Linked DNA regions of Rattus norvegicus. The protein of the gene in region 4 interacts with the protein of the main gene of each other region in a biochemical or structural test. Links are inferred from orthologs where the notes say so. Each region holds a gene or a part of one and is shown on either strand. Other genes may lie near its edges.

The links.
Region 1: of the proteins of H1f5 (region 4) and Ccnb1, one has a biochemical effect on the other in vitro, tested with the Homo sapiens proteins (2 studies listed by BioGRID). The link is inferred for Rattus norvegicus from reciprocal best matches to the Homo sapiens genes H1-5 and CCNB1.
Region 2: of the proteins of H1f5 (region 4) and Ccna2, one has a biochemical effect on the other in vitro, tested with the Homo sapiens proteins (2 studies listed by BioGRID). The link is inferred for Rattus norvegicus from reciprocal best matches to the Homo sapiens genes H1-5 and CCNA2.
Region 3: of the proteins of H1f5 (region 4) and Ccna1, one has a biochemical effect on the other in vitro, tested with the Homo sapiens proteins (2 studies listed by BioGRID). The link is inferred for Rattus norvegicus from reciprocal best matches to the Homo sapiens genes H1-5 and CCNA1.

Annotation. Positions count from the first base shown.
Region 1 is NC_086020.1:33,652,369-33,656,592, reverse strand, and holds the start of Ccnb1 (G2/mitotic-specific cyclin-B1), read left to right. Parts: upstream 1-1,367; 5' UTR 1,368-1,468; coding exon 1,469-1,489; intron 1,490-1,972; coding exon 1,973-2,134; intron 2,135-2,228; coding exon 2,229-2,378; intron 2,379-4,224. UniProt on the Homo sapiens protein: Essential for the control of the cell cycle at the G2/M (mitosis) transition.
Region 2 is NC_086020.1:121,354,802-121,358,701, forward strand, and holds the end of Ccna2 (cyclin-A2), read right to left. Parts: intron 3,726-3,900; coding exon 3,613-3,725; intron 3,431-3,612; coding exon 3,207-3,430; intron 2,606-3,206; coding exon 2,398-2,605; intron 1,807-2,397; coding exon 1,693-1,806; intron 1,376-1,692; coding exon 1,242-1,375; intron 965-1,241; coding exon 916-964; 3' UTR 562-915; downstream 1-561. Other genes in the region: Exosc9 (exosome complex component RRP45), read left to right, coding at 1-40. UniProt on the Homo sapiens protein: Cyclin which controls both the G1/S and the G2/M transition phases of the cell cycle. Functions through the formation of specific serine/threonine protein kinase holoenzyme complexes with the cyclin-dependent protein kinases CDK1 or CDK2.
Region 3 is NC_086020.1:141,383,236-141,386,801, forward strand, and holds the end of Ccna1 (cyclin-A1), read right to left. Parts: intron 3,099-3,566; coding exon 2,894-3,098; intron 1,989-2,893; coding exon 1,875-1,988; intron 772-1,874; coding exon 638-771; intron 360-637; coding exon 308-359; coding exon of another isoform or gene 234-307; 3' UTR 118-233; downstream 1-117. UniProt on the Homo sapiens protein: May be involved in the control of the cell cycle at the G1/S (start) and G2/M (mitosis) transitions. May primarily function in the control of the germline meiotic cell cycle and additionally in the control of mitotic cell cycle in some somatic cells.
Region 4 is NC_086035.1:47,420,432-47,423,422, reverse strand, and holds H1f5 (histone H1.5), read right to left. Parts: upstream 1,549-2,991; 5' UTR 1,492-1,548; coding exon 823-1,491; 3' UTR 518-822; downstream 1-517. UniProt on the Homo sapiens protein: Histone H1 protein binds to linker DNA between nucleosomes forming the macromolecular structure known as the chromatin fiber. Histones H1 are necessary for the condensation of nucleosome chains into higher-order structured fibers.

The DNA.
Region 1 (4,224 bases), on a different chromosome or scaffold from region 4:
TTAAGGTCATTCTCAGCTACATAGGGACTTCGACCTGTGATGTATTTTATAAAACCAAGGATATGTTTTACAGAGCACAGTATGGTGTGGTGGGAGGGAATACCTCAGTGGACCGATGCTGAAGCATATACCCTTCACACCAGATACCAGCCATGATGGGTTTAGTACAGAATAGTTTATTTGGGGGCATGGGAAAGGGAGTTGAGAAAGGAATAGAGACAGAGAAAGAGAGGGGACAGAGGACAGAGAGAAGGGGGAAGGGAGGGGAAGGGAAAGGAGAGGAGGAGAGAAGCAGTTCTTTTTTTATAGCAAACTGGCCTATCTGGCTGTTGCTAGGTAACTGTTGGGCAGAGCATAGAAGGAATGCCAACAACCTGTGCTACAAGAGATCCTGGTCAACAAATAAATAAATCCTCATTGATGTTACTGAAATTTAATGTGGAAAAAGATTTCACTGAAGTTATTTAGCCTTAATAAGGTGTCTGAGGTAGAAGGATGGAGTGCTGCATTATGGATTCTTGTTAAATAGAATAGATTCTACAAAACTGTATTTTTGAAGTAATCTTAAACAGGAGCGAAATTAAGCATGTGGCACATTTTCTTTTGTCCCTGGGGCAGTAGCTATTGGGGCGATTGGTATGTTAATCTATTTGCTTAGGCTATAACTTCATGCTATAAACCTCAAAATCCATCCCAGGCAGCGGTCGGAACAATCATACTAAAGACTGTCTCTGCTTCAAAGCTTTCGCGAACTCTTAAGATAGTACTGGCACTTCTGTAGATGAGGATGAGAAACAGTAAGTAGGGGCTGGAGAGATGGCTCAGCGGTTAAGAGCACTGACTGCTCTTCCAGAGATCCTGTTCAAATCCCAGCAACCACATGGTGGCTCATTCATAACCGTCTGTAATGGGATCAGATGCCCTCTTCTGGTGTGTCTGAAGACAGCTACAGTGTACTTATATATACTAAATAAATAAATCTATTTTTAAAAAGAGAAACAATAAATAGGACAGCAAAACTGTTATGCGTGCTCCAGAAACGTGGCGGCCCCACAGTCATTTTCCTAAGGTCCAACGGAGTTGCCTTGGACAGCACACAAGTGGGCATTGCCGGCCAAGCCTACCTAAAGCAGGTGGCAGCAAAGAGGCGAGTGCGCAGGCGCAGAGCTTGACCTCACGAGGGGTGGGCGGTGCTGCCAGCTACAGCCTCGCTCTGGCCCCACCCCTCGCCGAACTTGGGATCGCGGGATCGCCCAGGAAACGCATTCTACGGGAACCCGCAGCACCAATGGGAAGAGAGCGAGTGCCATGAACTGACCAATGAGGAGGGAGCGGCCCGGGGTTTAAACCCAGGCCCGGCAGACTCCTCCCGGCGTGCTGTGGGGGAACGGCTGTTAGTGTTTAGGTGTGGGCAGCCAGAGGTTAGGGTGTCTTCTCAGATCGGCGAACCTCTGCTTCAGGAGGAGCCATGGCGCTCAGGGTCACTAGGGTGAGTCGGGCCGGGCGCTGCGGTCCTCGCTGTGGGAGAAGGCCGCGGCGGCCAGGAGGGGAAGGGGATGCCCGGAAGGTTCCGGCCAATGGAGGAGCTAAGGACCCTCCCTGGAGGGTGAAAAAAGACTTCGGGACATATCTGGGCTGAAGGACTTAGAGGGAGTAGGGTGGTGTGCTTTTAATGATGAAGGCCCAGAGTGAATCTTCCCAGAGTCTGTCTGCCCAGAGTCTTCCCAGAGAGCTGTCTACAAGGAGGCTTTCATGATTACCTTTCCGATGTAAATTTCACCGTGTTTAGGATTGCTTGGGACTTAAAGGGAAATTGGATAATAGGTGAACGTTTTGGGTGGAAACCTGCTTGTCAGGGCTGGAGGATAGATCCTAGAGCCCTTGCTTTCCATAGTGGGGTCCCGCCTTAATTAACCCATGACTTCCTGGAGCCGCCATGGATCCTCTCTCAAGTGGTTCTTACTTCTTTCAGAACACGAAAATTAACACAGAAAATAAGGCCAAGGTCAGCATGGCAGGCGCCAAGCGTGTGCCTGTGGCAGTTGCTGCCTCCAAACCCCTGCTGAGATCGAGAACTGCTCTTGGAGACATTGGTAATAAAGTCAGCGAACAGTCAAGAATACCCCTCAAAAAGGTAACTTATCTTCCTGGTCCAGTTATCCTGAAAAAGCCCATCTTCTAGGTGTCACCGTTGGAAAAACATTCTGTTCTTTCACTTTCATCCACAGGAAACAAAAAAGTTAGGTTCTGGAACAGTTACTGTTAAAGCCCTACCAAAACCTGTGGACAAGGTGCCAGTGTGCGAACCAGAGGTGGAACTGGATGAGCCTGAGCCTGAACCTGTTATGGAAGTGAAACACTCTCCTGAGCCTATTTTGGTAAACTTAGCATTTTAAAAAGTGTATTCCTCCTCTCTGACTTCATTTCATGTTGATGCACACGACGGCATTTAAATATATTGTTTATTGAGTGGTTAGTGCATTTTACGTGCACTAACAGCTCTAGGGTAAGTATTAGCACTCTGCTTCAGATGGTGGCAGATAAATATGGTAGGGCTCTTGTTTTATGTAGACAGTCTCACTGTGTGCTCCTGGCTGGCCTGGAACATAGAGGTTTGCCTGCCCCTCGAGGCCTGGGATCCAGAGGTGGCATAATCATTTTCTTTTTTGTGTAACTGTATAGCTTCCGCTGTCCTTGAGTTTGAGATTCCCACCTCTCCAATGCTGGGGTGATATATTCAGGCTAGATCTTTTAATTGGTTTCTTTAAAAGGAAAAAAAAATCTCAGACAGAAATAAGATTAATTAAATAGGGTCCTTGGTAACACATCTTCCAATCCCAGCATTCTGGCCTAGAGGCAGGTGGGCCTCTAAGTTCAAGGCGGGCTGTGTATATAGTAAGATCCAGTCCAGACAGAGCTGCATCTAGTGAAACCGTTTAAAAAAAAAAAATAGGGCTGGAGAGATGGCTCAGAGGTTAAGAGCACTGACTGCTCTTCCAAAGGTCCTGAGTTCAAATCCCAGCAACCACATGGTGGCTCACAACCATCTGTAATGGGATCTGATGCCCTCTTCTGGTGTGTCTGAAGACAGCTACAGTGTACTTATATATAATAAATAAATAAATCTTTAAAAAAAAAAAAGATGATGGATTAATGTTGATGGGTTAACATTTAAGCCCCAAATGGAAGTTTACCTGAGTTCGTAGCCTGTTAGATTGTGTTTAGCATAGGGATGCTCTGGGTTCAGTCCTTGAGTACTAAAACCACACACACACACCGCCAGATTTTACTACTAGGTGTGATGGTGCATGTTTGTGATTTTAGTACTTCCTCTAAGGCAGGAGGGTTGAATGCTCAAGGCTAGCTAGGGCTCTCTGGGTTTGTAATCAAGAACTTGTATTCACCTGAATAATTGATTAATTGATAATTGAAGGCTTGGCATTCTTTTGAATTGACCTCACATGATGCTGATGAATAAATGGCTTTATTATCACTTACCTGCTCGTTTCCTTTGACTTGCCTTACATGTTAGTATCTATAGAGTCCTGTGTGTGCCCAATCGTATGTATCTGAAGAGAGACTCCTTTGGAGCTGGAGTAACAAGCATTTGTGAGCCACCCAGTGTGGATGCTAGGATCTGAATTCTGGTCCTCATGGAGTATCAAGGGCTCTTTAACTGCTGAGACAGTTCTCCAGCTCCCATGCTCTCTTGTATTTTGTGTGAGAATACACAGAGAAGTCAGAGACAGCTTTTTTTTTTTCCCCCTTCGGAGCTGGGGACCGAACCCAGGGCCTTGCGCTTCCTAGGCAAGCACTCTACCACTGAGCTAAATCCCCAACCCCTTAGAAGACAGCTTTTGAGTCAGTTCTTCCACCATGTGGATCTCCTGGGGGTTGAACTCAGTTGTTAGGCTTAGCAACAGGTACCTTTACCCGTCTTGCCAGCCCACTTCTTCGTACTTTAAACTACCTGAATCTAAATTGGGGCTTATTTTTTTATGAGACCAGATCTTGCTGGCTTGCAGTTTGCTATGGAGACCAGGCTGGCTTCAACTCAGAGACCTGCCTTCCAGGTGCTGGGATCAAAGCTTATATTAACCATGCCTGGCTCTGATTGTTAGAACTGTTTTCTGATTGTTAGAATTGTTTGTTTTTTTTAAAGATTTATGTATGTGAGTACACTGCAGCTGTCTTCAAACACACCAGAAGAGGACATTGAATCCC
Region 2 (3,900 bases), on a different chromosome or scaffold from region 4:
TCAAGGGAAAAGGAGGAAAAAGAAGAGAACTGCTAATTAAGCTAAAGTGGTGTGGATGTGTATGTATATATATATATAAAATATATATATATATAACTAATAAGAGGGTATTTGCTCAGTGCTAACAGCTCTGGATATTTTTTATTTGAAAATCTATTATGAGCTGAACTTAATAAACTGTTTTGTCTTTAACATTATGCTTCGAATAAACTTTCTGGAAAACTTTTCTGTTGCATAAAAGCTTCCCAATTCATGTAAAACCTTATTTGTAAAAGTTGGTAAATAAAATGTCTCCATAAACTACTGTAACATGTGAGCTCTGAATGAGTTCTGCTACACTGAAAACAGATTCATCTACTTTTGGTTACTTATAACCAAGTCAGAAACTTGGTTTGGTTGCTTACAATTATTAAAATCAATGTCAAAATTTGAAGGCATCTTTCCCTGAAATATTTTATTTTATAAAAAGCTTTCCCTACCCCACCCTCAACAATAAAACAAATCAAATTAGCTTTTTTAAGTGACATCATTCTTTTTGCCTCAAATTAACTTTGACTTGCAAAGATTTCTGAATCAATTTATTCTTATTATCCTGACAGTTGGCAGCACCAATGTTAACAAACCAATTAAAATTAGCCAAATTATCTATCACTTTCAAAGATTTCCAAATCAATTTATTCTTATTATCTTGACAGTTGGCAGCACCAATGTTAACAAACCAATTAAAAATTAGCCAAAATCTAAGATAGACACATGTACAAAAGATATACAAATTAAAACCATTTTAAAAGTAATGGATAACATAATTTGTCTGTGGCTATACCATCTACATTCAGAAATGATTGTGAAATTAAAACCAAAGATAAAAACTGTACAGCATGAACTCTGAGCGATTTCCATTTCAGTCTTTCACTCTCACACATTTAGTGTCTCTGGTGGGTTGAGAAGAGAAACACTGTGATATCTGTTAAGCAGAGGAAATAAAAACCTATTAGTAAACATTCATCGGGGAGATCACAGAACAAACAATTTATGCGTCCCAAGACTGGAGAAATGCTACTTTTATTTGATTAGACTAATGAGTTTAAAAACATTTGATACTTAGGACACATATCTGTTCCCTTACCCATCTCTTACCAGATGCAAAGGCACAAAAGCTTCCTATGTTGACATAAGATCTTACTGAGGTGGCTGTGGCATATTACTGTTATCCTTTAGTCAGTAAAGAATATGGTTCTTACTTTGAATGCTTGTACTTTTCCCTTATTGACTGTTGGGCATGCTGTGGTGCTTTGAGGTAGGTCTGGTGAAGGTCCATGAGACAAGGCTTAAGACTTTCTAGGGTATATCCAGTCTTTTGTACCAATGACTCAGGCTACAAAGAGACAACCATTGAGTTTTTAGTAACAGCACAGGGCACTGACCATGAACTCACAGTTGATCTAAATGTTGGCACTAATCTTTGACACATTTTTTAATTTTAATTTTTATAAATTTATTTACATTCCAAATGTTGACCCCTCCCCTTTGCCTCCGAGAGTGCCAACCCCCACATTTTAGCTCACTCTTTTGACTGTTTACTTCCCCTGCTCGCAGCAGGTGACTCAGACTCTAGAAGCAGAGCTTTCAAATGCAAGTTTAAGGTTAAGACAAAGAACACCAATACTTGTGAAGGCAACAGTTAATACATACCCAGCTTTGTCCTGTGACTGTGTAGAGAGCTAAGTGGAAGGCAGCTCCAGCAATAAGCGATGGCAAATACTTGAGGTATGGGTCAGCATCTATCAAACTTAACTCTCCCAAAAACTGCAATGAAAACCAAAACCAAAACAACTTTACAGTCACACATCAGACTCAGATTCAAAACCTTGCTTCTTGACCAGTTTCTATTGTCTTGGGTACTCTCACTGGTTCCGTACCAGCCCTGGGAAAATTATTTCAATGTTCTGCTCTATTCTCAGCTAATAACTTAAAACAGCTACTAGGATGTTCTCTTTAAACCACTAGTTAGTGCCTTTCTGGAATGGTCATCTTTGGGCCTTCATTGGAAAATTCTCTCCTGGACCTCTCAGCCCTTATCCACGGACACCAGATACTCAAGTCTCTTACATATGCCATTTCATAAGCTAATGCTACATGCATATCACTAGTACAATATTACGTGTAATACAAAAAAGATCGATTGATATGTGTTTATCCAGTACATAGGCAGTTACATTTAATGTCTGTTCATTGATTCCATATGCGCAGAGCCCACAGATATAGAGGGCTATAGGATTTTCTGTGTATTGGAGCATTAACTATCTGGAAATACTTTCTCTCTTAAGCAGTGTTATACAATGAAACTAAGGGCTTGCCCCTAATTGCAACCTAAAACAAACCCCAAACTGGACTTACCATCGCTAAGCTTTCTACCTTGCAGTTGGCAGGCTGCAGGTGCAGGAAGTACTGGGTAAGGAACTGATTTACTGTTGGTGCAGCCAAGTCAAAAGCAAGGACTTTCAATACAAGGTGCTCCATTCTCAGAACCTGCTTCTTGGAATAGGTATCGTCCGTAATATACACAAACTCTGCTACTTCTGGGGGGTATATTTCTTCAAACTTTCTATAACAAAAGAAGTTGTAAATGAGTTTTTTCAAAAGAAGGTCTTGTCTACATAGACTGTACTCTACTCACTTCCACCAACCACACTCCCACTGACAGTTGACTGCCATCTCTAGCTGAGATGATTAAAAACCAATTCATAGGCCCAAATCACTAAGGGACTTCTGATTTGTCTCCTGAATACAATTTTTTTTTAAATTTCCTGATGTAAGGAAGAATTTGTTTATACTCCAGAAAGCACTTTATTGTAGAAGAACCATACTTTCAAACTCTTCATCTAGTGTGATAAAATGTATTCTCATTCAAGGCATGTAAAATCCAGATCTGGAAAGCTTTATATTTTAGACTTGAAAACAAGTTTCACCCTCTACTCAGAATCATCCCATAGCCATCCCTAAAGGTGTCAGTGTTAAAACTGGGGGTTGAAGAGATGGCACAATGACTGGGACCCAATGCCCTCTTTTGGCCTCAGCAGGCACCACACATGTGCTACAGATACGCACGATGCACAAAGGCAAAACACCCAATAAAATATAAATGGAATATAAATGGGGGGAAGGAGTGGTGAGTGATGATTTTGAACCAAATTAGCTAGACTTACGAAGCTAGCAGCATAGCAGCTGTGCCCACAAGCTGAAGCTTTCCTCTTAACACAGACATGGAGGAGAGGAATCTATCAATGTAGTTCACAGCCAAATGCAGGGTCTCATTCTGTAGTTTATATTCTTCTCCCACTTCAACTAGCCAGTCCACAAGGATGGCCCGCATACTGTTAGTGATGTCTGGCTGCCTCTTCATATAACTCACTTTAGGTTTACATTTAACCTGAAGAAAAACTCAGTAGGGTTAATTAAAACTATGATTAGTTACTTCACCATTCACAAAGACACAATTAACATACACTGTAGCCGTTAAGTTTAGCGTTGGAGTAACTTGCTAGCAGTTAGCAGGTGTCCATCGTTAGCCTCTCTGCTTCACTTAGCCATTTTTGATGAACAGAGCCTTACCTCCATTTCCCTAAGGTACGTGTGAATATCTTCATGATAGTCAGGTACTTCATTAACATTCACTGGCTTTTCGTCTTCTAAGACAATAGATATATCCATAGCATGGGGTGATTCTGTGTATGACATTAAAGTCAAAGTATTTATCTCTTTCGATAAAAACACCCTAATGGCAAAGCAACACTGAATATCTTATTCTGGTTTTAGGGCTACTGTCCTCATAGCTCTAGGATAACCTTAATCCCAAAAAAGAAGTATACATCAGTAGGCTACTAAGAGGACTGAGAATTA
Region 3 (3,566 bases), on a different chromosome or scaffold from region 4:
TGTGGGATGCTTATGCAACCAACTTGGGAAGGTGTTGACACAGCTACGATATAACTCGCAACTAAGATGCCTGTTGTGTCAGCTATGCCAACTAGTAAAGAGGCCCAACACATGGCCACACAGCAAGTTGTTTATTCTTTTAAAATACCTGTCTATATCTATATAAATTATAAACTACCGACGTCTAAAAGAACCTAACACTCATATGTTGAAGGTGACATCTACAACTGACATTAGTTGGCCCGACCCGCAGAAAACTGTAACAGGTCAGAGTAAGCCTGCTGGTGTGGCTGTTGAGCTGACCCGTTCACTGCAGGGGAAGAACTACGGGTGGCTCCATGAGGGACACGTGCAGGTACCTGAAACGAGAGCACAGCCAGGTCAGCCCAGGGCCAAGGATGCCAGTTAGGCTACAGAAAACCTCCAGCAGTCTGAAGGGTCAGAAGGAAGCCAGCTAACTATAACTGCCAAACGCTGGCAAACTGTGAATCTAGCTAGATCTTCCTAAATGTCTTTTCTTGACTTAGCGAGCAACCTTGTTTTCCAACCTAATGAAAGATAGAATTTATTCTACTTCTTTTTGTTGTTCTGATTCCACAACAACCCAGAAAGCAAGGAAGGGAGAGTGCCCACTTACTTCGAAGCCTTGTACTTCTCCCTGATTGCTTGCTGCGGTCGATGGGGTATACTGAGGCATGCTTTATGCAGCTCACTCAGGCAAGGCACAATCTCATTTAATGAATAGCCCGTAAATGCAGCAAGTGTTTCTGGCTAATTGAAACGAAAAGGAAATTTTGCTTCACGTAACTTTATAAGAGGTTAGAAATCTGAACATAACTGCTTATGAAGTGAAGGGTGAAGTGAAATTCTTGGTGAGCAAGTATATCCATCCAGAAAGATTCATAACCCCTTCCTTTAGAAACCTTACACTAGAACCAAACAGCCTGGGTTCTAAACTGGCAGGAGTATAGTTGTAACCCTCAGTGTAGAGGCAGACCACTGTTCTTGATCCTATGTGGGTGGGGCTTTCACTGATTCTTAATAATTTACACTAAATATGAGAGATTGCATAGAATAGAGATCCCTAGTCAAAAGACAACCCTTGATAGGAGGAGAAAAGTTCTCCTCTGACCTACATCTCTCTCTGTCTCTCTCTCTCTCTCTCTCTGTCTCTCTCTCTCTCTCTCTCTCTCTGCCTCTCTCTCTCTCATACACACACACAAACACATGTGCATGCAGATAAATACATTTTTTAAAAGAGTTATCTAGTATCATAAGAAATAAAAGTAGATAACTCATTTCTTTTAGCACTCCGAGAAAATTTAGAATAAAATGTAGGGATCTGTTTCTGATCTTTCTGCCTTCTGAGGCAAGAAACAGTCATTACTGAACTTGGAGGGGTTTTGTTGTTGTCGTTGTTACAGAAGCTGAATGCTACTAATGTTTGTTTTATTGAGATGGTCTCCCTCTGAGACCCAGACTGGACTTGGACTAACAATCCTCCTGCCTCCACCTCACAGGCACTTATAATATAGGTGTGCACCACTCCAGCTGTCTAGGATCAACTTTAGCTTGGCATGGCCAATGGCTAAGCCTCAAGGCCCTCTATGCATATTTTGTTGGGCACTGAGGTTCCCAGGCCTTCCTGATTCCGTGCTATTTCTGCTTCCCACAGAGCAAAGCCATGGCATCAAAGCCATGGTGACTGATCTAGAAGACTCAGAAACAAGCTGTGGTCTGCTGCCATGACAACCAGCTATCATGAAAAAAACTTTCCCTCAGAAGGCTTGTGTCCATTCTGAATCTTGAACTCACTGAACAGATTTTGTATGAACTTTGAATGTGTTCTACTTAGGAAGAAGACAGAAACGTACCCAGAAGTGTCTGTTCACAATATAGTTTGCCAGACAGTAAGCTGCTGCTGCTACCAAGGAAGGAAGATACTTCAAGAATGGGTCAGCTTCCAGAAGGCTCAGTTCTGCAACATACTAAGGGCAAGAGAGAAAAATCTCAGTGGAGTAAGAAATTTGAGCAAGGTCCAATTTGACTAAAATTGTCAGTAAACCTGGAATTGCCAAACTCACCAATTGGTTCCTTATTTTCATTCCCTCAGAATCTAATGATGAGCCCCAAACTTAAGCCAGGTATATTTCCTAGTTCCATAGTTGCTCTGACTGTCCTTCGACTGACTAATGTTTGTGTTGTGATGATGTTCCCATACCCTATCTCACCCACACGGCATATGTGATAGGTTACTTCTCTTATCTAGTAGATCAGGCTTTACGGTGGTCAGATAAGGGAGTATTGAGCTCACATCTCAAATAGAAAGAGTCATTAGCCAGGAGGCAAAGAAACAGCCATACTGAAGCTAGCAATGGCTAGGCAAATTGATACAGTTCTCAAGCTCAAGCAATGCCATTGGAGACGTGTCAGGAGAATGCAGGGAAATCTTTGTGGTCATCTTTATTACTCTTTGAATAGCGTGTGTTTCACAGATTTCCCATGGCAAGCTCACTGGCTAGGACAGAGTGCTAATAATTCCAACTAAGTGCCTCTAGATCAAAATGGCTGCAGATTTCGTGCTGCTTTATTTCTTACTGAATTAGAATAAGATTCAAACAAAACCCAGCCACGTTTTACCTTGCTCCCAAGTTAAAAGGCGCTGCTCGCCTGCGGTCTGCATCTCTCAAGGGAGCTTACCGTGCTTAAGAGTCTTTGATAGTCGGGAGCTACGTGACTGGGACCTGCCAGTACCATCAACAGCAATGTCTGGTGAGCAGGCATCGTGTTTTTAAGACAACTGCCTTTCACCTCTACAGAGATGGAAACCCGGGAGGGATGGGCGTGGAAGGTGGTTGGAAAGGTGGCTGTCCCCAGAAGTCCTGTGGCATACCTTGGCCAAATTCTCAGTCCTGATGCACACCCCTTGCCGCCTTAAGTACTGAAGGAGGAACTGGTTGGTGGTTGGAACGGTCAGATCGAATGCCAGGACTTTCAGCAGCAGATGCTCCATCCTCAGTAGCTGTCGCTTTGTGTACGTGTCGTCAGTGATGTAGACAAACTCATCGACATCGGGCGGGTATATCTCTTCGTATTTCCTGGGGGGCGGGTAAGGAATTATCAGGGGGAAAGTTTGGAACGGTCGTCTCTAGCTCCTGTCCTCTCGCATGGCCCTGGAGGCTTATTCACTTTATACTGCCATTGCCACAGAACCATCAGAGAACTGTGTGGGCTATAAACATACTGTGAGCTTTTTCTCAGTCCGCGAGAGTACCGCAAGGGTATGGTATACTAACTGCTGGGAACTGTGACAGGTTGGGGACTTTGAAACACTGACTAGGTCTAAAGGACACATGCTTCAGCTGGATCCCTGTTGGTTGAATAGATATTGGGTCACTTTGTGAGAAGAATGTTAGGATCAAACCAATAACAGAAAAAAAACAATCCCATAGCTTTGGTGGCTTTAGCTGTGCTTTGTTTTGTTTCTGAAGACCATATTAAATTATTCAACTTCATTAGTTAGCAAAGGATACTGAATCACCAAGAGAAAAATAACAATATAATTT
Region 4 (2,991 bases):
GAGTGTCACACCCATTACTACATTAACAAACCTTTAACACAAAAGGACCGTTCATTAAGGGACTTCAGTGTCTGGGTGCTTCCAATGGAAGAACTGAGCAAAAAGGCTCCAAAAAAAGCGTAAATGACTTGAGAGTGGAAATTTGTACACAGCCTTTGGAAAAGATGCCCGTGTTGGGGGGCCTGCTTCAGGACCTTGCAGCTTTGGCTCCACCTCTTGCTGTTCTGCATACTTGTCCCTCGCCTTCTACGAGCCCTTCCAGTCGGACCGAGACTTCCACCAGCTCAAGCTCTGTTAAGGAAACTCTAAAGGAGGGGGAGGGAAGATGGTCTCCGCACTGGCTTCATTTTAAACAGACTATGGCGATGAATACCGCGTTATCTGTAAACGTCTTCTAATGACTGTCCAATCAAGTTTAAAGTCAGTAATAAACCAGAGTACCATTGGTTTAGGTAATACGACACAGCCAATGAGTTATTTTTCGCGCGAGGTCTCACTTAATCCTAAGTGAATGTTGGCTACTAACAACGCTTTTATTCCACACTGGGCAGTTATGGCCCACGTACAGGTCCCAAGTGACCATAGTGGGCCGCGAGACTACCAACAGCCAACATAACCAATTTATCCATAGGTAAGACTAAACCGTCTTACCTTGTAGATTGAGCACAGGGCCCAAATCAGGGCGGGAAGGTGTTCCAGTTGGTTGGCCCAATTGGGAGATAACAACCCGGGAGAGCTTAAAGTGTGTACAGCTACATTCACAGAGTTCTCTGGGTGGCTCTGAAAAGAGCCTTTGGGGCTTTGCTGCTGTTACAAGCAAGCTTACTTCTTCTTGGAAACAGCCTTCTTTACCTTGGCAGCCTTAGGCTTAGCTGCCTTGGGCTTGGTAACTTTAGGCTTGGACGCCTTAGATTTCACCGCCTTGGGCCTTGCCGGGCTCTTAGTCGCCTTTTTAGGCTTGGCAGCAGCCTTGGCCTTCTTAGGGCTCTTGGTAACTTTCTTTACTCCAGCCGCTGCAGGCTTCTTTGCTTTCTTTGGAGTTTTCTTCACGGTCTTCTTGGCCCCGGCAGTCTTCTTGGGCTTCTTCGGGGTGGCACCTGTAGGTTTCTTGGCCTTGGCAGCCCCAGTCTTCTTAGCCTTGGGCTTGGCTTCGCCGGAAGCCACCTTTTTGTTAAGCTTGAAGGAACCAGAGGCGCCAGTACCTTTTGTTTGCACCAGGGTACCTTTGCTCACCAAACTCTTGAGCCCAAGCTTGATGCGGCTGTTGTTCTTCTCCACATCGTAGCCACCAGCAGCCAATGCCTTCTTCAGAGCAGGCAGGGACACGCCGCCGCGCTCTTTAGAGGCAGAAACAGCCTTAGTTATGAGCTCAGATACCGGGGGGCCAGTGGCCTTGCGCTTTGCCGCGCCAGCTTTTTTTGTCTTCTTCTTGGCGGGAGACTTCTCTACAGGAGCGGGAGCCGTAGTCTCGGCGGGAGCAGTTTCAGACATGGCGAGAATAAAATCTGCAAGAAAAGGAAACCTAACGCGAAGAGCAAATTTTGCAATGCTCCTTTGCTCAGGCTCCGGGTTTATATAAGCCGGTGCTGGGCTGTGATTGGTGGAACGTCCAATCCACCGCCCTCTGGCCGCAGCGACTCAAGGTTACAATCCCAAATTGTGTTTGTTAGTCACCAAATTTTTACTTACTGCCGAAAATAATGCCACAGAAATTGGCAGTTTGGAGTTCCAAAGGAGAACAGCCTTCGGATTCACGTACCTGGTTGTGCTTTTTTGAATCCCACGCAACTGACCAAAGGTATTTTTAAAAATCCCTCCAGTGTTTACTAAAAATCCACCGAGCAGAGAGCATCCTGAGAGTTACTTGCATGTTTCCGTAAACTTATACGAAGGATGCAAGGAACATTACTTAAGAGGATTTGTACAAAGATACCGCCTTTAATTTTTTCAAGAGTAAAACTAATAGTTCTTTTGGTTTGGGCAAAAACGTTGTTTGTATCTGTAGCAAATAACACAGGCCTAGGGGCTACAAACTGAAATTAACCACTTTAAATATCTCTCTTTAAAATAGTTCAAACTCCTAGTACTTTGTACAGGGTTGATATCTTTAATGGAAAATGCAATATTTCTAGTGTGAGAGTGACTTCTTTGAAGTAGAGAGATTGAAAATCATTATATTTAGGAGCTGTAGAGACAGCCTAGCATTTAAGACCACTTGCTACTCTTGGAGATTTGGGTTTAGTTTCCAACACCCACAGGACAGCTTGCAACTGATTATAACTCCAGTCCCAGGGGATTTCAGGCTTCTGCTAGTATTAGACATATAAGTGATGCACATATATACATGTAGGCAAACCCTCATGTACATAAATAATTAAAACATATCTCAAACACATAAAAAGGAATCACTAACTTCAGATGCCAATCACCTTAATTCTAAGTAAAAATAAATTAGATATGGTTCTGATCAATGGGCTTTCACAATTTCCTAGGGATATTTGGAGACAGAAAATACTTACCTTAAAAAATATTTTACCTAAGAAAAATTCTAAAACTTTCAGAAGAATTTTCAAGGAGATTCTACCGCCCTTGAATGAGATAGATGGCCAGTGAGATTTTGAAAGTAAAAGAACAGCACAATCACTCACACTCTTTATAAATAGCCAATAACAACATTGGTAGTTTTTGCATGTTTAAATGACAAGAAGGCCAGTATTTTAGAATACTGTTGAGGAACCTACATTTATACAAATTAAAAGATTTTGAGAAACTGGGAAGTGGTGGCACACAGCTTTAATCCAGGAATTCGGGAGGCAGAAGTAGGTGGATCTCTGTGAGTTCAAGACCAGTCTGGAGTCTATAGCTTAAGTTCTAGGACTTGTTTACACAGGATTACAGATAGGATTACACAGAGAAACCTTGTCTTGAATTAAGGAAAAAAAAAAAAAAGACTGAGGAAAATAAAAGGTAAAGAGAAAGTGAAATTTGCTA